7 linked regions of the Canis lupus familiaris genome follow. The protein of the gene in region 2 purifies or fractionates together with the protein of the main gene of each other region. This does not show direct contact. Links are inferred from orthologs where the notes say so. Each region holds a gene or a part of one and is shown on either strand. Other genes may lie near its edges.

The links.
Region 1: the proteins of KPNA2 (region 2) and KIFC1 purify together in Homo sapiens (co-immunoprecipitation; 4 studies listed by BioGRID and IntAct, with this or other methods). This does not show direct contact. The link is inferred for Canis lupus familiaris from reciprocal best matches to the Homo sapiens genes KPNA2 and KIFC1.
Region 3: the proteins of KPNA2 (region 2) and POLR1E purify together in Homo sapiens (affinity purification with mass spectrometry; 3 studies listed by BioGRID and IntAct, with this or other methods). This does not show direct contact. The link is inferred for Canis lupus familiaris from reciprocal best matches to the Homo sapiens genes KPNA2 and POLR1E.
Region 4: the proteins of KPNA2 (region 2) and POLR3C purify together in Homo sapiens (co-immunoprecipitation; 3 studies listed by BioGRID and IntAct, with this or other methods). This does not show direct contact. The link is inferred for Canis lupus familiaris from reciprocal best matches to the Homo sapiens genes KPNA2 and POLR3C.
Region 5: the proteins of KPNA2 (region 2) and HECTD1 purify together in Homo sapiens (affinity purification with mass spectrometry; 3 studies listed by BioGRID, with this or other methods). This does not show direct contact. The link is inferred for Canis lupus familiaris from reciprocal best matches to the Homo sapiens genes KPNA2 and HECTD1.
Region 6: the proteins of KPNA2 (region 2) and NUP153 purify together in Homo sapiens (co-immunoprecipitation; 4 studies listed by BioGRID and IntAct, counting the BioPlex papers as one, with this or other methods). This does not show direct contact. The link is inferred for Canis lupus familiaris from reciprocal best matches to the Homo sapiens genes KPNA2 and NUP153.
Region 7: the proteins of KPNA2 (region 2) and CTDSPL2 purify together in Homo sapiens (affinity purification with mass spectrometry; 4 studies listed by BioGRID and IntAct, with this or other methods). This does not show direct contact. The link is inferred for Canis lupus familiaris from reciprocal best matches to the Homo sapiens genes KPNA2 and CTDSPL2.

What each region holds. Positions count from the first base shown.
Region 1 is NC_049233.1:2,985,567-2,990,030, forward strand, and holds the start of KIFC1 (kinesin-like protein KIFC1), read left to right. Parts: upstream 1-1,485; 5' UTR 1,486-1,500; coding exon 1,501-1,566; intron 1,567-1,609; exon of another isoform or gene 1,610-1,864; intron 1,865-1,911; exon of another isoform or gene 1,912-2,430; intron 2,431-3,073; exon of another isoform or gene 3,074-3,449; intron 3,450-4,464. UniProt on the Homo sapiens protein: Minus end-directed microtubule-dependent motor required for bipolar spindle formation. May contribute to movement of early endocytic vesicles. Regulates cilium formation and structure.
Region 2 is NC_049230.1:14,367,884-14,372,436, forward strand, and holds the start of KPNA2 (importin subunit alpha-1), read left to right. Parts: upstream 1-1,524; 5' UTR 1,525-1,682; intron 1,683-2,069; exon of another isoform or gene 2,070-2,205; intron 2,206-2,981; 5' UTR 2,982-3,004; coding exon 3,005-3,079; intron 3,080-3,227; coding exon 3,228-3,365; intron 3,366-4,553.
Region 3 is NC_049232.1:54,129,734-54,133,632, forward strand, and holds part of POLR1E (DNA-directed RNA polymerase I subunit RPA49), read left to right. Parts: intron 1-163; coding exon 164-249; intron 250-2,593; coding exon 2,594-2,652; intron 2,653-3,642; coding exon 3,643-3,787; intron 3,788-3,899. UniProt on the Homo sapiens protein: Component of RNA polymerase I (Pol I), a DNA-dependent RNA polymerase which synthesizes ribosomal RNA precursors using the four ribonucleoside triphosphates as substrates.
Region 4 is NC_049238.1:59,294,150-59,298,048, forward strand, and holds part of POLR3C (DNA-directed RNA polymerase III subunit RPC3), read left to right. Parts: intron 1-360; coding exon 361-616; intron 617-726; coding exon 727-912; intron 913-1,957; coding exon 1,958-2,046; intron 2,047-3,053; coding exon 3,054-3,158; intron 3,159-3,291; coding exon 3,292-3,384; intron 3,385-3,899. UniProt on the Homo sapiens protein: DNA-dependent RNA polymerase catalyzes the transcription of DNA into RNA using the four ribonucleoside triphosphates as substrates.
Region 5 is NC_049229.1:10,607,309-10,611,207, reverse strand, and holds part of HECTD1 (E3 ubiquitin-protein ligase HECTD1), read left to right. Parts: intron 1-544; coding exon 545-772; intron 773-1,547; coding exon 1,548-1,829; intron 1,830-1,924; coding exon 1,925-2,195; intron 2,196-2,728; coding exon 2,729-2,805; intron 2,806-2,889; coding exon 2,890-2,988; intron 2,989-3,899. UniProt on the Homo sapiens protein: E3 ubiquitin-protein ligase which accepts ubiquitin from an E2 ubiquitin-conjugating enzyme in the form of a thioester and then directly transfers the ubiquitin to targeted substrates.
Region 6 is NC_049256.1:17,841,982-17,845,880, reverse strand, and holds part of NUP153 (nuclear pore complex protein Nup153), read left to right. Parts: intron 1-1,539; coding exon 1,540-2,160; intron 2,161-3,899. UniProt on the Homo sapiens protein: Component of the nuclear pore complex (NPC), a complex required for the trafficking across the nuclear envelope. Functions as a scaffolding element in the nuclear phase of the NPC essential for normal nucleocytoplasmic transport of proteins and mRNAs.
Region 7 is NC_049251.1:11,450,785-11,454,683, forward strand, and holds part of CTDSPL2 (CTD small phosphatase-like protein 2), read left to right. Parts: intron 1-2,763; coding exon 2,764-2,979; intron 2,980-3,899. UniProt on the Homo sapiens protein: Probable phosphatase.

The sequences.
Region 1 (4,464 bases), on a different chromosome or scaffold from region 2:
GGGGTAACATATAGCTTGGATTTTGAAGCTGCTGGAATCTAGATCCACTCCCGATCATGAGTGTGACCTTGTGCTTGGATACCTAACCTTTCTAAGCCTACCTTTGTCCAGCTTGCAGAGAAGGGATGCAAAACACTCGACCGTAGTAAGAGCTCAATGAATTTAGCGATTATTAAGAGATAATGCACGTGCAGACAGCCTGAGAAGCATAGAAACTTCCTAAATGTAAGCAGTCTGCCGTCCGTGGGATGGAGGCTCCGGAGCCCTAAGGCAGCTCCAGCACCGGTACCGGCGCCCAGGTACCGAGGACATGGGGTGCCGAGGGGGACTGCAGGGAAAACCCCTCTGAGCCTCGAATCCCCACTGTCGGGCTTCCAGGAGCGCCAAGCTGCACCTCAAGTCCCTAGGTTTGGGGGGAAATGCCAAAATGACTGGGGAGGGGGTAGACGCGGCCACTCTCACGCCACCGGCGGGCTCCTGCTCCCACTTCCCGGGAGCTTTAGGGACCTCGCCTCCGCGGCGAGGCGCCGAGTCACGAACCCTAATCGCACAGACGCGGCCGGGGGTAACGGGGGTGCTCCCCGCCGCACTCGCTGGGGGCGGGGGCTGCCCCGTCGCGTCCCTCCCCCTAAGCGAGTCCCGTGTGCTCTCGCGTGATTCCTTTCTCCCAGCGTCCCCGCCCCCACCCCGCTGAGTTCGCGCGGCGCCGTCCGGGAATGCTCTGACGTGACGTGCTGCAGCCGGGAGCCGAGCGGAAGTGCAGCCCGACCCCGGCTGGAGGCGGGGTGGGCGAGAGAGGTGGGAGGGCAGCCGGAAGTGTGACTAACCTCCTGCCTCCCGCGCGCCGGCGAAGCAGGAAGGGGAAGGTGCCGGCCTGGCGGGGTGTGGCCTCCAGAGGCAGGGGGCGCTGCGATTGGTCTCGGCCGTGGCGACGGCGACGATTGGCCCTTGCGTGCGGAGGGAGGTGAGAAGGGTGGCGACGGTTGGAATTCAAAAGTGGCGGGTGTGGCGTCGGTCGGGAGCCCCGGAGCCCCGCACACGCGTGGCTTGTGTCGCAAGCCGGAGAGAGAACGCGGGTCCCGGAAGCCCCGGCGCCCTGTCCTCTTCCGGCGGGCGCCCCTGGCGCGTGTGGGCCGGTGCTGGCCATGGAGCCGCAGGTGAGTAGGGCCGCGAGGGGTCTCCTGCCCGCGACGCTGGCGAGCCCCCGGCCCCCGGCCGGCCTCGGTCCTGCCTCGTGGAGAGCAGAGGCCCGTGCGTCCTCGCGCAGGGGACAGGCGGGAGGGAGAGGGCTGGGAGCAGCCCCGGGGCGTCGGGGTGCACGTCTGCCAGCCCTCCCCGCTCTGATTGATGTCTCCAGGATTTTTCGATTTCGAATTCTCGGGCTTATCTGACTCTGTACCCACCTCTCCATTCCTGCCAGCGATTGCAGTGTGTGATTGAGAGGAGTTCTGAGATTCCGTCTCCCTCGGGGAAGTGGTGCCTGAGGCCAAATCCGCGCTGATGATCTTTCCTGTTCTCTCCGGTTGCTGTCGCTTCGGAGGGCGGGAAGGGGATAGAGGGAATGCGGTAATCTGAACTGAAGGATTCCTCATTCTCTCTCCTTCGTCAGGTTTTACAGAGATCTCTGCCCCTGGGACTTAGTTTCTTCTCTTATCGGTGGCCCTACTGCACTTCACAACCATCAGCAGCCTCCCCTCTCCAGTCGAGAGAGATGTGTGACAGCCAGAGTGTATTGACTTTTGGTGCCAGAGAAATGCTCCTGCCTGGATCCTCTGTTTGCTAGTATTTCACATTCAGATTTACCCAAAGCAGGTTTCAGACTGAAGAGATATTGTTTGTATCCCGACAGCTAAAGAGCAGATGAGTATGATGTGACCGTGAAAAACAGTAGAAGCCTTCTCATATTTACTGAGCACCTACTGTGTACCAGGCACAGTGGTAGATACTTGGGATGCAGCAACAAACAAGACAAATCCCTGTCGTCCCTACAGATGCCATTCTATGAGAAGCTGCCATTCTGTGGGGAGCCAGGAAATATAAGTTACATAACTCTATTTCAAAGTGATGAATGCTATGAACAGAAGGAAAAACTTGAGCAGATTAAGGAAGAGGAGGGGAGGCCAACTTGCAGGATACAGTATTAAATAGGGTGGTCTTAGTAAGCTCCATTATGAAGATGAAAGTTGAATAAGTGCTTTGAACAAGATGATGGACAAAGGCTAGTGATTACTGAGGGAAGAGCGTTCCAGGCAGAGGGAATCTGCTAGAGCAAAGTCCTTCAAGAATTGTGTAGCAAAAGCTAAAATGGAGTGAGCAAGGGGGCAAATTGTGGGAGGGGAAGTCAGAGCATGGAGAGTGGGATTGTCGACCCCATTGCTTCTTGTTGGGGCTTTGTTGTGAGGCCCTTGACTTTTGGATGGTTTTAAGCAGGTAAGATCTGTCTTACATTTTAAGAGGATCACTCTAGCTGCCACACTGAGAGTAAACATCAAGGGTAAGGAAAGAAACAAGGAGGACTGTTAGGAAGGAATACAGCAGTTTTTCTCAACTTCCATACTATTGACATTTTTACTGTAGGGGCTGTCCTATACATGGTCTGATGGTAGCAGCATTCCTGGCCTCTGCCCACTAGATGTCAGTAGCAACTCCCACCTAATCAATGTCAAACTGTCTCCGGACCTCATCAAATGCCCCCTAGGGAGTCAAATCACCCCCAGTTGATAACCAGTGGAGAATGATAACCTGAGAGGTGATGCTGACATGGATCGGGGTTGTAGCAGTGGAAGTAGTAACATGTGGTCAGTTCTGTCATCCTTTGCTGACATTAGATGTGGTATGTAAGAGAATGAGAAGACTTGGGATTTTTTGGCTTGAACAACTGAAAGATATATATCAACTGGGATGGAGAAAGCTGTAAGAGGACCAAGTTCGAAAGGGATTTGGACATTAGAAAGTCCATTTGGATGTAAGTTTGACACGTTTATTGGACTTCCAAGTGGAGACATTGAGAAGGTAGTTGCATAGAAGTTCAGGAACAAGGTCTGGGCTAGAGGTATAAATCTTGGAGTTGTCAGCGTATGGATGAGAGTGCACTGGAATGTGGATAGAGAATAGAAAGACCATCATTAAAGTTTGGAAAGATGAGGAGGACCTGCCGTGAGAGATGGGGAAACCAAGAGAGGATGGTCTCCTGGAAGCTCAATGAAGAAAGTGTATTAAGGACGTGAGAGTGAGCAGCTCTATCAAATGCTGTGATAGGTCAAGAAGCAGGAAGATGCAGAGTTGACATAGCAACACACAATGTACTTGTGACCTCAAGGAGAGTAGTTTTGATGACACAGTGAGAGTGAAGGCCTGATTGGGATGAGTTTAGGAGAGAATCTGGACATGGTCAATATTCTAGTGAACACTTAAGGGTTTTGCTGCAGAGAGTAACAAAAAGCTGACAGGTAAAGCAGAGTCAAGAAACTCTTTTCAGTTTGGAAGAAATAATAGCATGTGTTATAATACAGATAGGAATGATCCAGTAGAGTGAAAAGTTGATGGTGTAGAGGAGAAATGGAAGGATTGATAGGATTCTTTCCCAATAGATAGATGAAGGACTGGAGTCTGATGTATACATGGAAGGGAAGCATTTCTCTTATGCTTTTCATTGTGGATAGTTGGGAGTCATTGTGTCTGGCTCTATATCACAGATGGGAAGAGAATTAATACTGTACTCTTTGGAGTTGTCCTTAATAAACAAACCTTTGAGGGGCACATGGGTGGCTCAGTGGTTGAGCATCTCCTTCGGCTCGGGTGATCCTGGGGTCTTGGGATCGAGTCCCACATCAGGCTCCCTACAGGGAACCTGTCTGGAAGGGCAGGGATTTTGTTCATTACACTCACCTCACCTTCTAGAACAATGTCTGGTCCAGAGCAGTCTTGCAACAAATCTTAGTGCAACAAATCCTTATTGGATGAAGGAAGAAAGGAATGATGAATTTTCTCTACCTGTCATATCCCTCATCATCTACTTCTTCACATTGCTTCACACTACTTTTTTGGTACAAATCTAGTCTTACTACTCTCCTAACTAAAAACCACCATCAGGGTCCCTCTTGCCTTCAGTAAATGCTAGACTCCTTATCATGGCATACTGCCTGCCATGCACACTCCATGTGTCAGCTGAACAGAACAACTTGGCATCCTTGCATGCACCCGTCCTTGCTTTCTGCCTGGGAGGCTCCTCCTTGGCCCAGGTCCCCTGGCTAAGTCTTTCTCATCATCCAGGTTTTGCCTAAAAAGACTTTTTAGAGGTGTTCTCTGACACTCTCCGCATCTGAACTACATGCTCATTCCCTCCTTGGGGTATACTTTTTTTATGATACCACTCAGTAAAATTTTAATAATCTCTTTAAAAATGCTTCTCTGCCTCTCTCTCTCTCTCTGTGACTATCATAAATAAATAAAAATTGAAAAAAA
Region 2 (4,553 bases):
CAAAAGGCATAGGCTTCCCGACTGAATGAATTTAGGTCATATGCCTGCGTCTGAACCATTCACAGTAGCCAAGAGAATCCCTTGCAGTGACTGGTTTAGGGGTGAATTCCTTCCACATTTTGCACTTAGGGGGATGGGATCATACTGATTGAATTGGGAGGCGTAGAATCAACTGCTAATGAAGCGCATGGCTGCTACACAATGAATGAGGCTGGCAAAAATGCCTGCAAGAATGGATAAAGTTCAATGTTTGAATTTCTTTATAGTAAAATAAATAAGCCAATACAACATTTCTAAAAATGCCCTTTTTAGAATGCAGAAAAATTGCACAAACAAAAAGGTCTTTAATTCTGATGCTCTGTAACCATTTGTGATGCAAGAAAATGCAAATATTTTATTCAGAGAAGTGTAAAATACAGCATAGAACATATTGGAACAATTGTCAGAACTTGAACACACTACATAATACATGATAGCATCAAAATTCAGTTGTGTTGGGATCCCTCACTGGCTCAGTTGGTAGAGCATGCCACTCTTGATCTTGGGTCATGAGTTTGAGCCTCATGATGGGTGTAGAGATTACTTAAAAAAAAAATCCTAAAACAAAACCAAAAAAAGTTCATTTGTCCTGAATTTGATAACTGTGGTGTAGTCATATAAAAGAATGTTACTAGAAGATACAAAATGAAGTATTTAGTGGTTAAGGGACATAATTTCTGAAATGCTTACAATTGGCTCAGAAATGTATACGTGGCTTTTACATATTACTTTTACTCACATATGTGTGTGTGTGCATGTGTACATAGAGAAATAGCAAATGTGGCAAAATGTTAATATTTGGCCAATCTGGGAATGGATTTGCAATTCTTCTGTATTTGAATTTATTTATTTATTTATTTATTTATTTATTTATTTATTTATTTATTTATTTATTGTATTTGAAATTATTTAAAAGTAAAAGACTGGAGAAATAGGCTTAAGAAACCTTCTGTTTCCATGTTTGTGGCTTCTATGCAGTCTTTTCTAACTCACGTTAAAAAAATAAAAACTAAAAAATGCAGCCCAAACCTGCCTTATCCTTTCCCTCCATAGTGGCCAGAAACCCCTGCCAAGTTCCTACTGTGTCCCATCAAGGAAAAACCTCATAGCAATATGTTTCTATATCAAATTTTTTTTCTTTTTTTACCCACCTCCTCTCTTTCAAGAATTTTAAAGAGCATTATTTTGGAAATCAGTTGTGGTGTTTGGGTTAAAGCAGCTGCCCAGGCAAACGACCTGGGAGCAACCTCACTAGCATGAACCCCCCGCAGAGCCCCTAGATTGAGGCCAAAGTCCAGCGCACTGGCCCGCTGCACGCCGGGATCTGGAGTCTTTCTTCATCCACCTGCAAAGCGCTCTGGGATTGCCTGGCCTCTCCCATATCTCGCGATGCTCTCTTCTCTCCTTCTTAGCCCCATGACCCCCCCAAATCAACGTGTTTTTCAAATCCGCCAATGGGAGCGCAGCGTAGGCTCGAACCAGCCAATCGGAATGCGGGGACACCGGGAAATTTAAATCGCGCCGGCCGGCAGCACGAGCCACACCGTCTCTGGGCTGATCCGCGGTGGACGTTTTGAGGGCAGCTGACCCGCGGCCTGCGCGCCCCGCACCGCCTCCCGTGGAAGCCTGAGCCGGCCGTGGAGGTACGACTGAGGCCAGGGCCCGGCCCGAGCGGCAGCGGCAGGCTGGCAGGCCGCGCCCCGCTTGTGGTGGCGGGAGGGGAGGCCCGGATTCCACGCCCGACCTGGCTGTGGCCTCCGTCGTTGACGAGGCCTGGGGGCGTCGTTCGTTGAGGAGGCGGCCGTGTCGCGGTGCGATTGCTTGGGTTTGGGGGCCGCTGAGGCTCTGCGGACCGCGGCGGGAGCTGCGGCGCGTCGCGGCCCAGAAGATCGCCGAGGCCCGGGCGGCGCTGTCCCCTCTGGCCCCGCCTCCGCCCGTTCCCCGCTGCATCTTCCCGGGTGGGGGGCAGGGGAAGGGCTTGGAGACGGGGCGGGGGGGCGGTGGCAGTTGGAAGAACCGTCTCTTAACACGTAGGCCCAGGCCCGGCTGTGACACAGCGTCGGCAGGGAACATCACGGAATGGAAGACCGCACATTGCCAGGAGGACTTGTACTTTTGTCCTCCCTTGGCGATCGCTCTGAAAGAGCTCTGTTTGAAGGAAGCGGGGTTAGTAGCCGCCTAACTGAGAGCGTTTCTTGGGAATGAAAATGTTTGCCGGGTGCTGAGGATGCAGAATTGGGTCTCGAGGTCTCGGTGTTGACACGCAGGGTTATGGAAGCCTCCGTAACGCGATGATGTGCCACATACTCCTTTAACTTTCAAGTGTGGAGAATGGACCTGTTTGGGCCATTGGGAGAGCCTCCGGAATATGGATTTGTGGCCCGTTAGGACGTCGGTTTTAACTGTGAGCTCAGTTTGCCCCACTCTGTGTTCAGTTGGTCCCAGCTGCACCGTCCAGTGTGGTGTGTGAGTCCTCAAACCGATGTGGCTAGCCCGGATTGAGCTGTGCTGTAAGCCCCAAGTACGCACATGATCTCCGAGTATTAGTATGAAAAGTGTAAAATCTATCTAGCTCGAAATAGGAGAACATGTGGAAAGGAGAGTATAGCGGACGTGTTGGGCCGGAGGGAATAGATTTGAAATTCATTTCTCCCGTTTCTTTTTGCGTTTTTGAAAAAATGTAGTTACCAGGAATTTTCAATTTATGCAGCTTGCTTTCTCTTTCTGATGGACAGCACTGTTCCAGGAAGTCTCAGCCTTTCGGAGAGGAGGGGACTAATACTGTTGGGCCAGTTCAGTATTTCATAGTGCTGAAAAAGGAAGTTAGTCCTCTACTATACAAGTGTGGGTCCAGTATATGCTTGGTAATTCTATTAATGCTCTTCTTATTGACAAAGCAAAATGATAAATGGGAAATTTCTTTCTCTTCCTCCATCTTACAGCTTTCTTCCTTTGTCTCATAACCATGTCCACCAACGAGAATGCTAATTCACCAGCTGCCCGCCTTAACAGATTCAAGAACAAGGGGAAAGACAGTACGGTGAGTATCTTCTGTTGCTTTCCTGTGCTATTTTTTAAATGGAAAGATATTTGGGAAGTGATCAGAACTTTGAGGAAATTTGAAATAAATATTCTCACTTAGCCACAAAAATTGATATAGTGGGTGAAGTGGTTTATCTTCTTCCAAGGAAATGAGGCGGCGCCGAATAGAAGTTAATGTGGAGCTGAGGAAAGCGAAGAAGGATGACCAGATGCTGAAAAGGAGAAATGTAAGCTCATTTCCTGATGACGCTACCTCTCCACTGCAGGAAAACCGCAACAACCAGGTAAATATATATTTTAGATTGTGAATTCTGGCAAACCCACAAAATCAATATGGTGCTTTTCTTAGAAATTTAAGCAAGGAGTCCCTGGGTGGCTCAGTCGCTTAGGCATCTGACTCTTTATTTCATATTTCACCTCAGGTCTTGATCTCAGCATTGTGAGATTGAGCCCCACATTGGGCTCCACACTGGGCACGGAGCCTACTTAAAGAAAGAAAGGAAGAAACTTAAATAATGTTCCTAGCCTAATGGTTTTAATTGTCAACTCTGTTAATGATCTTTTTTTTTTTTTTTTTCTCCCAGTCAGTAATTCTGTTGGGTTGTCTTCTTTCCTGGTCTCCGTAATGTACTGAAACAGATTCTGAAGTCTCCTTTAGCTCTGAACTCCCTTCAGATTTCCCTGCATTTCTAGCCACCAGTTCAGGACCTTGACTGGCCATTCCTGTGTTAACAGAAAGTTCGTGTGTCTAGAACTAGTCACTTTCTGGCTTCTTTGGATGTTCCCTATTTTTTGTATTTGTCACCAGCTTTGTTCAGATCTTTTCCCTCCTGAACTATTTTAGATGGTCTTCTAATTTATCTTTCCCTTCATTCTGTGCCACATACTATTTACCTAAACATAGTCTTAAAAATACTGCTTTAGACCTGTTCTTTCTCTGTTAAAAATTTTGGTAGTTTTAAATCCATATTCTTTGAAGTTTTTTTTTTTTAATTAGATCAATCTTAGGTTTTCAGATTTATCTTTTTGTATCTTTCAAAGATACTGAGAACCTTTAGTAGTTCAAAAAATTGTTTTTCACTGAATAGTTAATACCTATGTGTTATTTCTAGAGTACTATATTCAAATCCCATCTTCTTACAGCACTCCTTGGTCAGCCTAGCAGGAAAAATGTCTCCTTTTTAGAATTCCCATAGCATCCCAGATGTGCACTAAAAATGGAGAGTAAATGCTAACACAATATAAATATTCACCATTTGTTTTATGGTTGTCTGTTTTTCACATTTTCCTTCTTAAGCTGTAAGCACCTGTGGGAAAAGGGGTGTTGTCTTTTTGAGCTAACTATAGCACTGGTTCTCAAACCATTCTACTATGATCACAACATGAAACATTTTTGTAGCCCTGTACTATGGAAATGCATAGATTATAAGCTTACATATGAAAATCTCCAGCACACTGCCTATATAACTCCA
Region 3 (3,899 bases), on a different chromosome or scaffold from region 2:
ATTTGCTCTCAGCAACTTTTTTGTTTTAAGAGCACAGAGGGAGAGGGAGAAGCAGGCTCCCTGCTGAAGGACTGTTAAGAACTTTTAAGCAGGAAAAAGGAAGTTGTAAAACAGTACTTTTTGAGGAATCCTTTGTCATTGGTATTATTCCAACTTTGCTCAGGCACTTTGTGGGAATTCTCAACAAGACCTCTGGCCAGATGCAAGTGTATGATGCTGAATTGTTCAACATGCAGCCACTGTTTGCAGGTAGGACCCAGTCACGAAGGCTTGCAAGAACACTGCATGTTTTAGGTTTGCTGGATGAGTTTGGTTTTGATTTGTAAAACACATTTGTTATTTTTAAAAGGGTGCCTTCCTGCAAATATTTATTGATAACTTACTTTGCTCCAGGCACAAGTTAGTGGCTAGGGATGTAGCAGAACAGATACAGGTCCTGTCGCTGCTATGTTTACAGATTTGAGATCAGAAAATAATCAGTTAAAGCCATTTGAGCAGGGTTGCCTGGGTGGATCAGTTAAGCGTCTGCCTTTGGCTCAGGTCATGATCTCAGGGTCCTGCTCAGCAGGGAGTCTGCTTCTCCCTCTTTCTCTGTGCTTGTGGTCTCTCACTCTCAAATCAGTGAATAAAATCTTTAAAAGGTGGGGAGGGAGACTAAAAGGTGGTGAGGGGGACGCCTGGGTGGCTCAGCGTCTGCCTTCTGGGTGGCTCAGGGGCTGCCCTGGAGTAGAGGCTTTAGAGAAGATGGGAGTTACTTAGAGGTTAGACAGCCCTTTTCATGTTGATGAGAAGTCTCTCTATACTTTCTAATTAGGAGGAGATCCATTTTTTCCCCTAATTTAGTGAGAGAGCTTGTACTGCTTCTCTTCTTTGGCATTTTATGATGCTCAGGGCCAGAGTGTGGGATCTTCCAGAATGATAGGTCAGAGGGTCAGACTCAAGGGGCTCCTGTTCTCTAAATCTTAAATACTGAGAACCACAGTGAGGGAGGGTATAGTTGAGGAAGGATTGTTAGGGTCACAGTAGATCTGCCTGATGCCTTCCAAGGCAGTAGTTCTGGCTTTATTCCTGCAGAGCAGTGGTGCCAGTCCTTTCAAGAATCTGAAGGACCAGGGGATCCCTGGGTGGCTCAGCGGTTTAGAGCCTGCCTTTGGCCCAGGGCGCGATCCTGGAGTCCCGGGATCGAGTCCCATGTCGGGCTCCCAGCATGGAGCCTGCTTCTCCCTCTGCCTGTGTCTCTGCCTCTCTCTCTCTCTCTCTATGTCTATCATAAATAAATAAATAAATCTTAAAAAAAAAAGAAAGAATCTGAAGGACTGGACCTACTTTCCAGAAACATACGTAATACGTAAGAATATATATGAAATTTTGCATATAATTGTAAAGGGCTCTGAGTCCCATCTGCGACTCTCCTAGGGGTCCAGAGTCTGTAGGTTAAGGACTCCTTGCTTTGCGAACAAATACATCTACATTTAAATTATCCTCCAGGGCAGCCGGGGTGGCTCAGGGAGTTTAGCTGCTGCCTTCAGCCCAGGGCGTGATCCTGGACCCAGATCGAGTCCCACGGGCTTCCTGCAGGGAACCTGCTTCTCCCTCTGCCTCTGCCTCTGTCTCTGTCTCTGCCTCCCCCTCCCTCTCCCTCTCTCTCTCTGTTTCCCATGAATAAATAAATAAAATCTTTAAAATAAATAAATAATCCTCCAAGTGCTCTTCTGACTTCCAAGGAGGCAAAGGAAATTGTTCTCAAATTTTTGTTTTTACAGGTAAAAAATGTGTAAATACTAGTTTATTCTAGCCAACATATATATACACGTACACACACATGCAGCATTTATTGAGTCCTTAACTATTTGTCAGGCACTGTTCTAAGTACTTTTAATGCACGAGGATTGTCATAATTCATGTGACAACCCTCTGGTGGTTCTATCGATGACGAAACTGGTACAGAGTTTGACAGGGACATAATGTTGATGTGTGTGTGTGTGTGTGTATATATATATATACACACACCTTTATATATAATTATAATGTGTATATATAAAAATATAAATTTCCTTTATCCGTCTTTATCTATCTATATGACCTGGGATTGAAACTCAGACAAGGCCACTCTAGAGCTTATACTCCTACCCTCTAGATTATACTGCCCTTATATGAATACTTTATGGGAGATAAGAGAGCTTCATGTAAGTAACACATACCTTACATTTATGCTTGCTTATCTTTTATAAGGCGGGCAAAACTATTTACTGCAAAGAGCCGAGGACTTGGTTTCTAATCCCATCTCGGCCACTGCCTGGTGAACTGACTTAGGACAAATCATTTCGTTGGGAGGCTTTTTCCTTATTTGTAAAATGAAGAGGTTGGACCAGATGACCCCTTCATTTGACTCCTTAATTTCTTCTCCATATCCTCCAACTGTATACTAAAGCGACAGACTAAATATTCATAGGATCCATCATGTTAAACTCTGGGAAGTCCTACAGTAAAGAAATCTGTCTGTCTTAGATTAACAGTGAATAAATATTAAATGCTATTATAATCTGGGCCTTACAGCTTCCTTTTTTCCTATTTTTGTTTTGTGTCTTGATAGATGAATCACTTGAGAGCGACTTGACACAAGAGAGTCAGGCCAAAACTTTTAGAGAAAAGGTAAGAATGACAGAAGTGAGACATGGGACCTGCCTCACGTTCCTTCTGTGCCTTGTGCTTCTCCATCAGGAAAATGAGCTGACTGAGCACAGGGCTGCTCCCAGCTCATTCTGTCTGTGGTTCTCCAGTCAGCCTGCCTGTGGAGGCTTCTCAGCTTCACAGAGCGCCGTCCTCCCGCCTGGGGCAGCTATACTCAGCTCCATCCCAGTGTTTGGAACTGATTCTCTGGGCTGACATAGGTGTAGTGTAACACTTGTTTTTGGATTGAATGCAAGTTTCAGAAAATTCTGGCTGTAGCCTGGAAGCTTTCACATTAAAACAGAGTAAACTTCAGGATTTTCAGCGTAGGTGGTTCCTATAAAGCTAATCTCACTCCAGGATTGCAAATTGATTGAGTCTTCAGTGCTGCCTGGAGCACTGTATTGAGAAGGTGTGAGGCTGTCTTCAGGCTCAGTGGGAAAGAGTGAGTGATTAGCAACATCTGCTATGGGTGTAAGGCTGGAAAATGGTAAGTTATGTGCCAGATTTACCAATCCTCATTCTGATCCAGGCTTTTCACTGTACAAATGGAGACACTGTTGATTTGTAAAGAGCCCATGACAGTTTCCAAAGCAAGTACTTCAGGGATCCCTGGGTGGCGTAGCGGTTTGGTGCCTGCCTTTGGCCCAGGGCGCGATCCTGGAGATCCGGGATCGAGTCCCACGTCGGGCTCCCGGTGCATGGAGCCTGCTTCTCCCTCTGCCTGTGTCTCTGCCTCTCTCTCTCACTGTGTGCCTATCATAAATAAATAAAAATTAAAAAAAAAAATTAGCCAAAGCAGGTACTTCAGATCTGCTAATACACCAGCCTGTGAGATAGAGAGGTATGATTTAGCCTGATTTATAGGTGAGGTAATCCTGGCCTAGAAAGGCTGAGTTTCCGCATGGTCACACAGCTAGGAGTAGTAGTGCCCAGACTGTCCCTACACAAACCAAATTTGTCTATGCACAGATGGATTCTTGCATTGAAGCCTTTGGAACCACCAAACAGAAGCGGGCTTTGAACTCCAGAAGAATGAACACAGTTGGCAGTGAATCTCTGAACTGTGCAGTAGCTAAAGCTGCAGAGAATATTATTGATGCGAAGGGTGTAACTGGTAAGCAGCTGGGACTTGGAGTAAGAGTCTGCTCATTGAGACAGCTTCCTTGTCTCTTGAGATCTCTTACCTGCTCCACAGATGGAAATAAGGGTGTGTTAGGGCTGGGTTC
Region 4 (3,899 bases), on a different chromosome or scaffold from region 2:
CTGTTTTCTTCCATTCACATGTGATTCTTTTTTTTTTTTTTTTAAGATTTTATTTATTTGACAGAAAGCACAAGCAGGGGGAGTGGGAGACGGAGAAGCAGGCTCCCCGCTGAGCAGGGGGCCCCATAAGGGACTCAATACCAAGACCCAGGGATCACAACCCCAGCCAAAGGCAGACGCTCAATCTCTGAGCCACCAGGTGCCCCTTGACATGTGATTCTCAATAGCTTATCCAAATGGAGGGAGGGAAGAAGCACAGAGATCCTTAGCCAGCTCTTAGTAAATTATTAGACAAAAATTGGCAACAAAAATGAGCTATGACTTCAGATCTTTTCTTTCTTTCTTTTGCGTCCTATCTAGGTAAAAAAAGCCCTCTGTGTGCTTATCCAACATAACCTGGTGATATATCAAGTGCACAAACGTGGTGTAGTGGAGTATGAAGCCCAGTGCAGCCGCGTATTGCGAATGCTTAGGTATCCCCGGTACATCTATACTGCCAAAACACTGTACAGTGACACCGGAGAACTCATTGTTGAGGAGCTGCTATTGAATGGCAAAATGACAATGTCAGCTGTTGTGAAGAAAGTGGCAGACCGGCTCACAGAGACTATGGAGGGTTAGTACTGTACTCATAGCTGTTAGCAAAAGCGTAGATTGGCTGGCTGCAGGACTGGAACTTCAGCTAACTTAGGCAATCTCATCTGCCACTTTCATCCTGTTGTACAGATGGCAAGACCATGGACTATGCTGAGGTATCAAACACATTTGTGCGACTAGCAGACACACACTTTGTACAGCGTTGCCCCTGGGTGCCTGCCACTGAGAATTCAGACCCAGGGCCACTGCCACCTGCCCCCATTCTTGTGATCAGTGAAAAGGACATGTACCTGGTTCCAAAACTGAGCTTGATCGGTAAGGAATTTTGACCCCTGAAACTATGATTTGCCCTGGTTGTGGATTCTTCTTCAAAGATTGTTAAATTAGTGAATGAATCGATCAAGCAGTTACCAAATATTTACTCTATGCCAGATACTGTGGTGTAAAATGAAAAAACAAGTCCCTGACCTTTTGGGGCTTAAGACTAATATAAAAAAGACTTGAGTTACATTACTCAAATAATCAGATAGATGTATAACTAAGAAACTGATTAGTACTATGAATGAAAAGTATGAGATGTTATGAAAATATGTAACAGGGAACCAAATTTTTCAGGATTTAGAGCACACGCTTCTCTGAGAAAGTAGCAGTTGAGCTAAGATTTGAAACAGAAGCAGGAACTAACCAGTGAGGTAATGTATGAAGGAGTACAGAGGATAAATATTTTTACAAAAGGAATAGTGTACAATGAGAAAAAAATAGGATATTTGAGGAAGTAAAAGATGGGTCAGTGTAATTAAGGCATGGTGAGCAAAGAGAGCCATGAGATGAGGATAGAAAGATAGGGGCTAGATCATACAAGACGTTATACAGACAGCATCTGTTCTTTATCCTAAGAGCAAAGGAAAACTACTAAAGGATTTAAAGGAAGTGACATGATCTAATTTGCATTTTTAAAAGATTTTCCTGCTTGTAGATAGGATAGGGCAAAGGTAAAATGTAGACAAACCCAGTGAAAAATTAGATACAGAAAGGGTAAAGGAGACAGAAGTACTAAATGACATTTGTGTGTCTGACTTGCATGTGGGGGGAGGATGAATGGTCCTACTCACTGAAAGGAAGCGTTTGGAACAGGAACAGTTTGAGGTAGAAAGATTAGAACTTTCTTTTTTGAATATGTTGAGCTTCAAATGACTTCATCATTACTTCGAATTTCTTGGAGCTCCTCAGCCTCCCCAGCCACTTTAACCTAGAGGCAGCTGGAGATGTCTTGGGATAGAGGGAAACCTGCTCTCAGATTCAGTGATTTCCTGTCTTCATATGAGATGTAGCATAACTGTTTGCCTGTTTTATTTATCAGGGAAAGGTAAAAGGAGAAGATCATCTGATGAAGATGCTGCTGGGGAGCCCAAGGCCAAGAGACCAAAACACAACACAGATAACAAAGAGGTAATGGGGCTTAGGGGTCCTCACCCTAAGGCAAGGCAGAAAGATAACAAAGGTAACAGGCCCCAAGAGATTTACAAGGTCCTTGATTGAGAAGTAGTAGGATTAGGGATCCCTGGGTAGCACAGCGGTTTAGCACCTGCCTTTGGCCCACGGCGTGATCCTGGAGACCCGGGATCCAATCCCACGTCGGGCTCCGGGTGCATGGAGCCTGCTTTTCCCTCTGCCTATGTCTCTGCCTCTCTCTCTCTTTCTCTCTCTCTCTCTCTCTGTGTGTGACTATCATAAATAAATAAATAAACATTTAAAAAAAAAGATTTATAAAAAAAAAAAAGTAGTAGGATTAGTAGGATTATGAACTTCATTCAATATTGACCAAGAATGAACTAACAAAGTGTAAACTCCATTACTTTCTCCTTTCTGAGGCTTCATCATTAAACAGAGGTCAGATCTTATGCCAAAAAAGGGCCTTCTGTTTTCTCTCTGAAATAAGAGGCAAGGTCATGTGCTGAGAGTGGGAAGAGAGGGGTAAATAGAAAATTTAAGGATACTGGAGAAGAGTTCAGATAGAGAAAGATTAGGTAAATTCAGAGGTGAGTTTAAGGGATGCCTGGGTGGCTCAGTGGTTGAGCGGCTGCCTTTGGCTCAGGGCATGATTCTGGAGTTCTGGGATTGAGTCCTGCATCAGGCTCCCTGCATGGAGCCTGCTTCTCCCTCTGTCTACGTCTCTGCCTCTCTCTCTGTGTCTCTCATGAATGAATGAATGAATGAATGAATGAATGAATAAATAAATAGAGGTGAGTTTAGAGAATCTGAATTGGGTATTGTAAATTTGTGTCATCAAGGCCCTGATCCACATGATTGAATGATTTTTTTTTTTCCACCCCACGTGGTTGCTACTGAATAGGAAAAAAAATAGTGAACAGTTAAATCCAAGCTCCTCGCCAGAAAACTCTTCCCCATATTCACGGTATCTAAATGTTTCTCTCTAATCCTTTTCTCCTCCTCAGCCCATTCCAGATGATGGGATTTATTGGCAGGCCAACCTTGACAGATTCCATCAGCACTTCCGTGACCAAGCCATTGTCAGTGCAGTTGCCAACAGGATGGACCAGGTGGTATCTAAGTGGGTGGGACGGTGTCCCAAATCAGGAGCATTCACTTATTTGCCAGATGTAGCCATTGGCATATAGCCAGAGTCAGCACAGTGGAGTGAATTCTGAATTGTAGTTCACTTTTCAAACCCAGACCAGCAGTGAGATCGTGCGGACTATGCTTCGGATGAGTGAGATTACTACTCCCTCTACTGCCCCCTTCACCCAGCCGTTGTCTTCCAATGAGGTGATCTTCATGTTCTTGTACTACTTTTCTAACAGACTGCGGATGTGATGATTCTTATACACAGAGCCTGGGATTAGGTTGAGATCTGAGCCTTTGAAAGAGTTTTTATTGTTTGAGGTGGGACAGGGATTCTCTTCAAGTGTTAGGTACTGAAATATTGGTCTCTGGGGATCCATCCTTAAAAAACCTAAACCATTCTCCTAGCCAAAGTACAGCTATTCCCAGTTGTTCTAAGAATCCACTATCTGGAATCTGAGAACCTTTGTTGGTACTCAGAACATCATTTGGCTTCTTGTATTGCTTTTGTTCAGTATACTAGTTTTATGTATCTTAAATTTGTTTTTAGTATATCTGTTTCTTAAAATATAAATATTTAATGTACCAAATACATTTTATTTATATTCTATTTCATAATTATATTTATCCATATTATAGTTATATTTTCAGTTCATATTATTTTTAAAATTTTAAACTTATAACAAAAATTTCAGGTTTTTTTTCTTTCAATACAGTAA
Region 5 (3,899 bases), on a different chromosome or scaffold from region 2:
GAACCTAGTGTCTAATATGGTAGCCATATTTATATTTCAAATGTGGCTACCCCAAATTAAGATATGCTGTAAGTATAAAATATACTTGGGATTTTGAAGACTTAATACATAAAAGAATTTGGGGCACCTAGGTGGCCCAGGTGGTTGAGCATTGGACTCTTGATTTCTCCTTAAGTTGTGCTCTCATGGTCATAGGATCAATCTCTGTGTCAGGCTCCGTACTTAGCAAGGAGTTGGCTTGGAATTTTCTCTCTCTCCCCCTCTGCCCTTTCCCCTGCTTGTGTTCTCCCCCTCTCTAAAATAAATTAAAGTAAAAACTTTTTAGAAAGTAAAATAGCTCATTTTTTAACTTTGATAACATGTTGAAATGATGATGCCTTACATACATTGGCTAAATTAAATATATTCAAATAAATTTGTTTTGCTTTACTTTTTAAAATGTGACTACTAATAAATTTGTAAAGCATGTTGTGCTTTCTGTGATGCTAGAAAATTAAAATTGGACTTACTGCATTCTTTTATTAATTTTCATTTACTGTTGTAGGTGTTAGAACTGATATGTACTCGAGAATCAGGAGCAGTGTTTGAGGCTGGTGGTTTGAATTGTGTGCTTACCTTCATTCGTGACAGTGGACACTTGGTTCATAAAGATACCTTGCACTCTGCCATGGCTGTGGTATCAAGACTCTGTGGCAAGATGGAACCTCAAGATTCTTCTTTAGAAATTTGTGTGGAATCTCTGTCTAGTTTATTAAAACATGAAGATCATCAGGTAAATAAATCCCTGTTATATACTTTGTATTCAAAAAGTGATTTTATAGTGTCTCCTATTTATAACTCTGATACACTGTTATTTCAGCTTTTCACTTGATGAACTAGAGGTAATTCCATTTTCTCTTTTTTCTCATTTCATATTTCTGTATGGTAATCTTTGTTTTGGCAGTGAGACATTTTAAGTTATAGAAGTGATATGTTTATTTTTTTAATTTAAATGTTTCAGAAATACATAATTTTTAAAGCTGCATTATGCTCAGTGTGATTTGTTGACTCAGCACAAGTTGCTGACTTAAAGAGATAGTTCTCACTGAAGTAAAATAACACAGTATTTAAAATCTTTTATGTGTAAAGTTTTTTTTTGAATTAGATTTTAGAAAATAAAACTTTTAAATGCCTTTTTACTATTTTGTTAATTATTTTTGGTTGATATTCATAGATATTTTGGCAGAATTGTTCATAATAATAGTTAATATTTATTGAGCTTTTACTGTCCATCTAGATTCTTTATGTATGTCATCTTATTTAAGGTTGGACAGTGAATTATAGGTACTTTTATCTCCATTTTACAGATAAGGGAACTGAGGCCTTGAGCAGTTAAGTAATAACCTGAGGTCATACAGTTGGGCAGAATGTGGACCCAGGATTAAAATCTAGGCAGATTATATGCCTTATATCGTTGCTATAGCTGGCATTCTTAAATCTCAGTAATGAAATTAGCAGTACCCTTTTTAGGAACATTTTATCTATATGCATATTCTTTACATCATTAGGTTTCAGATGGAGCCCTACGGTGCTTTGCATCACTAGCTGACCGATTTACCCGTCGTGGTGTTGACCCAGCTCCATTAGCCAAGCATGGATTAACTGAGGAGCTGTTATCTCGCATGGCTGCTGCTGGTGGTACTGTATCAGGGCCATCATCAGCTTGTAAACCTGGTCGCAGCACTGCAGGAGCACCTTCCACGGCTGCAGATTCCAAATTGAGTAACCAGGTGTCAACAATTGTAAGCCTGCTCTCAACACTTTGCAGAGGCTCTCCAGTAGTCACACATGTAAGAATGTTTTTGAATATGTGATTTTTAATCTTTCAGTAAAAGTATTTTGCATAATGTAAATATATTAAACAGTTCTCCCATTCCGTTTCTAGGATCTCCTGAGGTCAGAACTTCCAGATTCAATTGAAAGTGCATTGCAGGGTGATGAAAGATGTGTGCTTGATACCATGCGTTTGGTTGACCTTCTCTTGGTGCTATTATTTGAAGGACGAAAAGCTTTGCCAAAGTCTAGTGCTGGATCTACAGGCAGAATCCCAGGACTTCGGAGATTGGATAGCTCTGGGGAGCGCTCACATCGGCAGCTTATAGACTGTATTCGAAGTAAAGATACCGATGCACTTATAGATGCAATTGACACAGGAGGTTGGAAAATATTTTTTAAAATATAAAAAGAAAACAGATAGGAATTATATAGGCAATTTCTAGTTTCTAGATTTTAGACCAGTATTATTAGCAGTTGGGCCAGATAATAGAAAGGCCACCAACCACCTCTGCACCCTTTCCTCTCCCCATGTATATAATTATCGGCCTGGTGCATGGTAAGACCTGAGTAAATGCCTATTAACAGAGTAAATGAAATGAATAAAGGAAACTAGTACCCTGTTGAATTGTGTTATATATTTAGGTTTTTGGTTTTTTTTCTTCTTATTTTATCTTTATTTTTAAGGGCCTAAAGCCTTGTGAATCCTCAGTGGTTTAAAAATTTTAGAATATCTTTTCTTAGCAGAATTTGTTTGTGGACTATTAACTACTATAGAGTTGATCCAAATGTTTAAAATTGATTCTGTATTTAGTGACTATTAATAATAATTTTTAAATGGTTCCCATTGTAGAAAAGTTCAGTATTACTGTGTTAGATTTTTAAAAATTTATTTTTCTCCTTGAAACTTTTCCAGCCTTTGAAGTAAATTTTATGGATGATGTGGGTCAGACTCTATTAAACTGGGCCTCTGCTTTTGGAACTCAGGAAATGGTAAGCTAATATATAAAAGCTCATGTTTTAAATAAAGATAGAACTATTAATAAGGCAACTTTATGATTCTTCATAATTTTACAGGTAGAATTTCTTTGTGAAAGAGGTGCTGATGTTAATAGGGGTCAAAGGTCATCATCATTACATTATGCTGCATGTTTTGGAAGACCTCAAGTAGCAAAGGTAAAATCCAGGTTTTTAAATTACTAATTTAATATTTAACATTTACATGGTTCCAAAATTAGAATGATATAAAAACTTTTATTTTGATGATAAGTCATTCTTCCATGCCATCTCCATTCACCATATTCCCCATTGTTCACTGTAGGTAAGCATGTTTTATTTATCTTTTTAGTATTTCTTAACATAGATACAAACAAAAAGAAATATATATGTTTATTCTCTCTTTTTCTAATACAAAATATAACATATTACATACATATTGAAGACCTCTTCCTATTAGCATTTATTTATTATTATTTTTTTAGAGATTTTATTTATTTATTCATGGAAGACACAGGGAGAGAGAGAGAGAGGCAGAGACACAGGCAGAGAGAGCAGCAGGCTCCATGCAGGGAACCCGACGTGGGCCTCCATCCTGGGTCTCCAGGAACACATCCTGGGCTGAAGGCGGCGCTAAACCGCTGAGCCACGGGGGCTGCCTCCTATTAGCATTTAGATAGCTTTTTTACATCTGTATACTTGCCCTGTGGATATACTGCAAATTTATTTAACCAGTCACCTGTTGCTAAACACTAATTTTTCCAATTTTTTTACTCTTGGCACCAAATAATTTTGTACATATTTGTGTTGTTTTTGTTATCATTAAAGCAGATAATTTATTTGCTGAAGGATAATATCTTTGATTTCCAGATTAGCAAAGGACATTGGAAAGTTCTTTTTATAGTTAGGAAAAATTGAGAAGGTTCAGAGAGGTCAAATGATAAGGGTTGGACCTGATGTGTGAATGATCTAGGTCTCTAAAATCTTCATAATGTGAAGTAATTTGGCACATGCAATGTTAATCTGCTAAGCCAGGCACACTTGGATTTAAGCTTTAGCTTATTAGCAAAACAGTTTTTTGGCCTTGGGCA
Region 6 (3,899 bases), on a different chromosome or scaffold from region 2:
ATTTTAGAGATGAGTATTCTGGCTACGAGAGTCCCAGTAACGATTTGGCATAGTTGAGGCAGCACTCCAGAGTGCCTGGGCTAGAATTAACTGAGTAGTAGAGAGGCCTTGCATTCCTACGGTTGATCTCTGTATAAGTCATACTCTGCATTCATGGTGCCCTTCCCCCTTTCAGTTTTCCTTAAATAGCAAGAATTTGGAGGAGTCCTGTCTTTTGAGGGAAATTAGGAAAACCTGAGAAAGGTGAAGGAAAGGATAGTTACTTGAGATAGTTACTGTTACAATTGTGCTAACCTTAGTGATGCAGATCAATCATTAACAAGATAGTACATTTTAGACCACTGGGAGTATTGAAGTATGTGCGTGTTTTGCCTTTTGGCTAAAACTAGCTCAAGATTGAGTTAATTGTAGCACTAGAAAATCTCTTTATAGTCTTCTGTTCTATCTTACCCTCCAATTTTTTTTCCTTTGGTGTTAAAAGCTGGACAAACAGGTCACTGAGTTTGTTGGTATATATAATTGGTCCAAAGTAAAGAATTGGAAGGAAGGTCATTCTCAAGAATAAAGTTGGAGTGAATCAACCCAATTCAATGACAGCAGTTTCGGTAGCATGAAGACGTTTTTTCAACTCCTCTTGTTCCGTGGTTCTGTGTGAATAACCTTAATTGTCTAAGTACATAGTGGTTACAAAAATGTATACTTACAATGTTAAAGGAGAACTGTTTGAGACAGTTTGTTTGAAGTAGGGTTTGGTTAACATTCCATGGGCATGTTTCTGAGTAGCATGAATTCATGCTCTACCCGAGTAGACTGCGTCTTCATCATTTCTGTATTTCTAGGGCTTGCCAGATGGTTTGGTTCATCTCTGTTGGAATTTGTCATTATAATTCTCATTGAACCATTACCATTTTAAAGTTCTATATAAGCTTAGTATAATTAAAACCAATCCCTACCATTGCATTGTACTTTGGAGGGACATCTGTCTAATATGTGTACCTATGCATCTCTGCTGATTTTTACTGAAAGTAGAGGATACCACAATTGTGGATTATAACTGGACAAAATTCAAATACTATAGATGTTGAAGACATTTGGCATAGCCAGGAACACCTGAAAGAAAAAAATAGATGAGGGAGGAAGGCTATGAATGTACTGTATATTCGTGTAGCGAGGCAGAGTGTTGCAAAACATGGATGACAGTGGTACGTGTCAGTAAAATACTACAAATTAAAGCCTCAAATTAGATATTGGTTAAATTATAGTAAGTAGAAATTCCTAAAGGAAGAAGGTGATAAACTGTAAACAAAACATCTTTTAAAGAATTTTAATGAGGCCTAAGTGTCACTTATTAATTACATGATTATTAAATATTGCTTAGGTAAAAACTCTATTTTTAAGTAGTCCATGTTGAATTTTAGTAACTGTATAAATGTGTATAAATATATGTTCTCCCAATAATAACATTTCAGATCATGTTCTGATTAGGAAGCTTCCTTAACTTTTTTTTTTCCTTACACTCTCCTCTTTCCCTCCTTATAGGTTTCATATCACCAAAGGCAGATTCTCTTGCTGCTCAGCCTACTACCACAAGCCCAGTTGTTTATACAAGACCAGCAATAAGTAGCTTTTCTTCTAGTGGCATCGGGTTTGGGGAAAGTTTAAAAGCTGGATCATCGTGGCAGTGCGATACTTGTCTACTCCAGAACAAAGTTACAGACAGCAAGTGCGTAGCCTGCCAAGCAACAAAATTGCCGCCAAAAGATAATGCTAATAAACAAACTGGAATTGGAACACCAAGTAAAAGTGACAAATCAACTCTTTCTGCATCAGGGACAGGTTTTGGAGACAAATTTAAACCAGCAGTAGGCACTTGGGATTGTGATACGTGCCTAGTGCAGAATAAACCCGAAGCGATAAAATGCGTGGCCTGTGAAACACCGAAGCCTGGGACTGGTGTTAAGCGAGTCCTTACGTTGCCTGCAGCCTCAGAGAGCGCCGTGACTGCGGCTGCTTCATCGGCCACCTGCACTGTGACCACTGCTGCCTTAGGGTTTGCAGATCAGTTTAAAAGGCCTGTGGGATCTTGGGAGTGTCCAGTATGCTGTGTTTTTAATAATGGAGAAGACAGTAAATGTGTGTCCTGTGTGTCTGAGAAACCAGGTACGTGTATGGCTCTTTGGGAAAAGTTTGCTCATTATTTTGGTAGGACATTTAAATGTATTGTCTGCTAAGAACCACCTTAATGTTTGTAATGTGTAAGGATGAGCATTTCCTCATACATCTTCATTTGCCTCAGCTATCTTGAGGTCAAGTGACTTGCCTGAGGCTGGATCTGTGTGTTATCTTAGGTGGTGCATTAGCCAGCCCAATATATACTTGTACCTCTTTTTTTACATACATTTTTGTCAGAAACTACTTGTTCTTGGTTATCATTTTCAAAGTTGACTAATACAGAAGCTGAAAGATCTTAAAAGGAACAGTTGTTCCCAAAACAAACACCACTTTATCTCTGTTTTGAAGTGAGGACGGCAAGTGGTCATTCCAGAGAAGGTTTCACCAGGGAGTAGACAATACTGCTTTGTGAAAAGACTGTTGTTGAATGTTAATGGTGATACCTATACCTGTGTGGTCTCTGCCAAGATGTTGCAATGATAGTAAATTACTGAATCTAACTTGGCAGTAAAAAACATGGAGTTAGATTTGAGTTTTTTGTTTCTCTGTTCTAATTTGAAAAAGTTATTGGAAATTCACAACTGGAAAGGACTCTGCTGTTTTTATAATATATAATTATTTGGTATAGATATATGGTAACATAGGTACTAAGTAAAAAGTGTTAAGAATATCATCGGAATTATACTTATTTTTTTATTGCATTATTCATGGATATGTAGTTTTTATGTCTGCAATGGAAAGTTGATTTGTTAACCTGTATACCCTATGTGTGAACACAAGAGGTGAGCCTTATTTCTAATTCTTACTGGACATGTCCACAAGAATAAGATTTCAGAATCTTCATTCTGAAATAACTTTCTTTTTCTATGTGGCATTCCTCCTCCTCACCTAAAAAAATAAGTAAATAAAAAAGCAAGCCTTTGCTTGTGGAAGAAACCAAAATTAATTCTGAGTTGATTGGGAGAATAAAACTGAGTTAGAAAGTAAATTCCTTCCACAAATAAAGGAAGCTCAAAAATTTATTCAAGCAGTCAAGCTTCAGTCTTGTAAATGATGAACCATCATTATAAGCAGAGGAGTGATCCAGTTAAATTTGTATGTTTGACAAATTGCTTCGTGGGTTTTTGGAGGATAGATTTGAAGGCAACAAAATTTGGAGACCAGAGGGCAGATGAGGATGTATCAGGAGTACATGTGGGCAAAGATCATGGCAATGGAGATACTAAGGGAGTCAAATCAGGATGTAGAATAATACATGGTTGATTTGAAGGTGTGAAGTTGGCACATAAATGCAAAGCCTTTAGATACATTACACATGCATGTTCGGGGCTGGAAATACAAATTTGGGAGTCATTAGGCTCTAGTTTTCAAATAAGAGATGGGAGCAGAGATGGATGTGAAGTGAGGGACTGGCCTAAAACTGAACTCTGTTAGCTTACGGGAACTGGCAGGAACGAAACCATTCTGTTAGCTTATGGGGAGTGGCAGGAACAAAACTTTGGAACAGTTAATATTGTATTTTATTTTATATTATTTTATTATTTTATTTTATTTTTTATTATTTTTTATTTTATTTTTTTATTTTTATTTTTATTTCATTTACTTTTTACTTTACTTTTTAAAGATTTTATTTATTCATGGGAGAGAGGCAGACACACAGGCAGAGGGAGAAGCAGGCTCCATGCAGGCAGCCCGACATGGGACTCAATCCCGGGACTCCAGGATCA
Region 7 (3,899 bases), on a different chromosome or scaffold from region 2:
TTGTTTAGAATGAAAGAGATTGGGTTTTATCAAACATGAAATCACATGTAATAGGAATATGAGATCGATAATTAAAAGATGAGGAAGTTATGGTAGGGGATTGATATATTTGAACTTTTGTCTTCAGAGATGAAACTTTTCTTAGTGTGAATATCCAGGTTATGGTCATTGTAGTTACTTAAGAGAGCAGTTATGAATGAAGATAGAGCTAGAGAAGGCAAGACTTTTGAGGATTAGTCTTAGGATGAGTCATTGACATTACTATAATAACTAGGAGGTGTTTAATAGACTGCTGGTGAGGTGTTCAATTCTTCTAATTGAGAGAGGATGCTGGCAGCAGTTAGTAGATGGCAGCAGTGGGATAAGTGAAGAATTATATAGCTAGATGACATCAGTCTCAGGAACAGGTATTTTTTTGCATATTCAGTGGAAAAACCAATGATCTGGTAGCAGAAATGGAGATAAATGAATTCTGATTCAGTTAGTATGTTGAGTATGGAAGAATAAAGAGCTTTGCAGGAAAGATGTCAGGAAAAGAGGTTTTTTGGAAGGGAGTTACATTTAAAGCTATGATGGAGAAAGAACATTCTGTGAGAAAGTTGAGAGTTTAGGAGGTTGATTTTGTTGTTGAAAATGACATTTGGGGGCAGCCCAGGTGGCTCAGCAGTTTAGTGCCACCTTCAGCCCAGGGCATGATCCTGGAGTCTCGCGTTAAGCTCCCTGCATGGAGCCTGCTTCTCCCTCTGCGTGCATCTCTGCCTCTCGCTGTGTCTCTCATGAATAAATATATCAAATTAAAAAGAAAAAAAAAGACATTTGGAGAATTCCATAAAGAAAGAAAAGAGTTGGGTTTATCTAGTAGTGGAAGAATAGGGCAACAGGTTCATCTAGGTGGTAGGCGAGTATGATTAGGAAACTAACTTCAGTCTTTGTTACTAAGATGGAATATTGTTGGGAAATTGTTGTGTCTCTGAATTAAAATATTCTGATGGTTAGGGGAACATTTAGCTCATTCTTGCATAACTACCTCTGATTTTAAAATTACAACTGCCTACAGTGGCTAGGATGCTTAGTATGGAAGGATAAGGATCTGTTTAATGGAAATGATAATGGAAAAAAATACATATAAAATGCCTAGCTCATAGTAGGCACTTAATAAAAGATATTTGCTATATTGAAAAGAAGTTCTATGGTCAACAATACTGTATTGTATACTTCAAAGTTGCAAAGAGACTAGATCTTAGATTTTCTCACCACAAAAATAATGATAATGATGCGGCAGGATAGAGGTGTTAGCTAATGCTAGGTTAGTAGTCATAATGCAGTATATATATAAATGTATTAAATCAACACGTGAATAAGCGTGAAACTTAAACAGTTATATGTCTGTTATATCTCCATAAATTTTTTTTTAATTTTTAAAATCTATTCATGAGAGAGAGGCAGAGACATAGGCAGAGGAGAAGCAGGCTCCCTGTGGGGACCCTGATGTGGGTTTCAATCCCAGGACCCTGGGATCATGACCTGAGTTCAAGGCAGATGCTCAACCACTGAGCCATCCCTCAATAAAAAAATTTTTAAAGTTCTGGGGATCCCTGGGTGGCTCAGCAGTTTGGCACCTGCCTTTGGCCCAGGGCGTGATCCTGGAGTCCCGGGATCAAGTCCTGTGTCAACTCCTGGCATGGGGCCTGCTTCTCCCTCTGCCTGTGTCTCTGCCCCCCCTCCCCTCCCTATGTTTATCATGAATAAATAAATAAAATCTTTAAAAAAAATTTTTTTTTAAAGTTCTAAGTTATAAAAGCTCTAAATAGGTGTTGCTAAACTATTCGAACACTCTTAAAATTTTGTTCATCAGTATCACTTTACCTTATAATAGTCTTTATTCCTGATTATTTGAGATGTATAGAAAAAAAAAAACACTAAACAGTAGTATCCTCAGCTCTATTTCTGTTGCATTTGGTTTTTCCAAATTTTTTAGTTTAGTTTTCATTTTTAAAAAATATTTTATTTATTTATTCATGAGAGACACAGAGAAAGAGAGAGAAAGGCAGAGACACAGGCAGAGGGAGAAGCAGGCTCCATGCAGGGAGCCCGATGTGGGACTTGATCTCCGGACTCCAGGATCATGCCCTGAGCCAAAGGCAGATGCTCAACCTCTGAGCCACCCAGGTGTCCCCCGCCCCCCCTTTTTTTTTCTGTTTTTTGAGTTTATTTTTCAGTATTTCACTTTTATTAAAATATATCTGACATACATTTATGTAAATTTAAGGTAAACAAGTTGGGCAGCCCCGGTGGCTCAGCGGTTTAGCGCTACCATCAGCCCAGGGCATGATCCTGGACACCTGGGATTGAGTCCCACATTGGGTTCCCTGCATGGCTCCTGCTTCTCCCTCTGCCTGTGTCTCTGCCTCTCTCTGTGTCCCTCATGAATAAACAAATAAAATCTTAAAATATATATATAAGGTTAACAAGTTAATTTGATACATTTGTATATTATAATATGATTGCCGTGTAACAATAGTTAGCACCTCTATCACATTACATAATTATCCTTTTTAGTGGTTAGAACAATTAAGCTCTAGTCTCTTAGCAAGTTTGTTGATTATAATACAATATTGTTTATATTCACTCTACAGTGTATTAGGTCTGTAGGGCTTATGTTTGTTTGCTATAAGTCTGTACCCTTAAAAATATCTATCCTATTCCCTACCCCCTTTTGAGTTTTTATATGATGGTTGTCAATACCCTGAATCTTGATTATAGGAACATCAGGATCCGATTCCCCAGGACAGGCTGTGGAAGCTGAAGAAATAGTAAAACAACTTGATATGGAACAGGTGGATGAGATCACTACCAGTACTACTACGTCAACTAATGGAGCGGCTTACTCAAATCAAGCAGTTCAAGTGAGGCCATCGATAAATAATGGTTTAGAAGAAGCAGAAGAAACAGTTAATCGTGATATCCCACCTCTTACAGGTGAATAAAATTCCTTTTCTTAATGCATATTCATGAATAATTTATAAAAATGCAATCTTTCTCATTTTTTTCTTTAATCAATCAAATGCATAAGTTTTTATTTCTTGAACATAAAACAATTAGAATTGGAAATAAAACTTTCTCCCCAAAATCTGCTCATTTTGAATTTGAATTTTTTAAAAGATTGTTTTGACTGAGCATTAGTCATTTTACAGTTTATTTGTACTAATCTAATTACTTAGAGAAATAAATAAGTGAATTTATTTATTTGTTTATTTTTAAGGATTTTATTTATTCATGAGAGACGAGAGAGGGAGAGAGAGGGGGAGAGAGGCAGAAACAAAGGGAGAAGTAGGCTCCCTACTTCTGATATGGGACTGATATGGGACTCGATTCTGGGACTTCAGGACCATGTCCTGGGCCGAAGGCAGGCCCTAAACTGCTGAGCCTGTACTTAGAGAAATTTAATACAAATAGCAAAACATGCTCATGTTTTGTTTTTTTTTTTTAACACAATTATAGATGCATCAGTCTCAGACCTTTCGGTCTGAAGTCCCCACCTAAAGGCAGCCTTCACATTTATTGGACATATAAATGACATCTCCCCAAAAGAAGCTGCTTTTCCTAGATCTTTCCCTACATCCAAACTTTGCAGCCTAATTCTGGATCCTTATAAATGCCTAACATAATTGTTGGGTTCCTGAGCCAGTTGTCATGGAAATGTAGAACATATGAGATCAGAATTTATTACCTCTGAGGGTTGTGGTATATAGACATATAAAGCTAAAAGATAAAACTGTGCCATGATGCTTAAAAGCAGAAATAAAATTGAGAATGGTCATCTTTTCCCAGAGGGACAAGATCTTAGCTTTAATCTTAGATTTGTTTTTTGGTTTTTTATTTCTTAAAATGCCAGATAC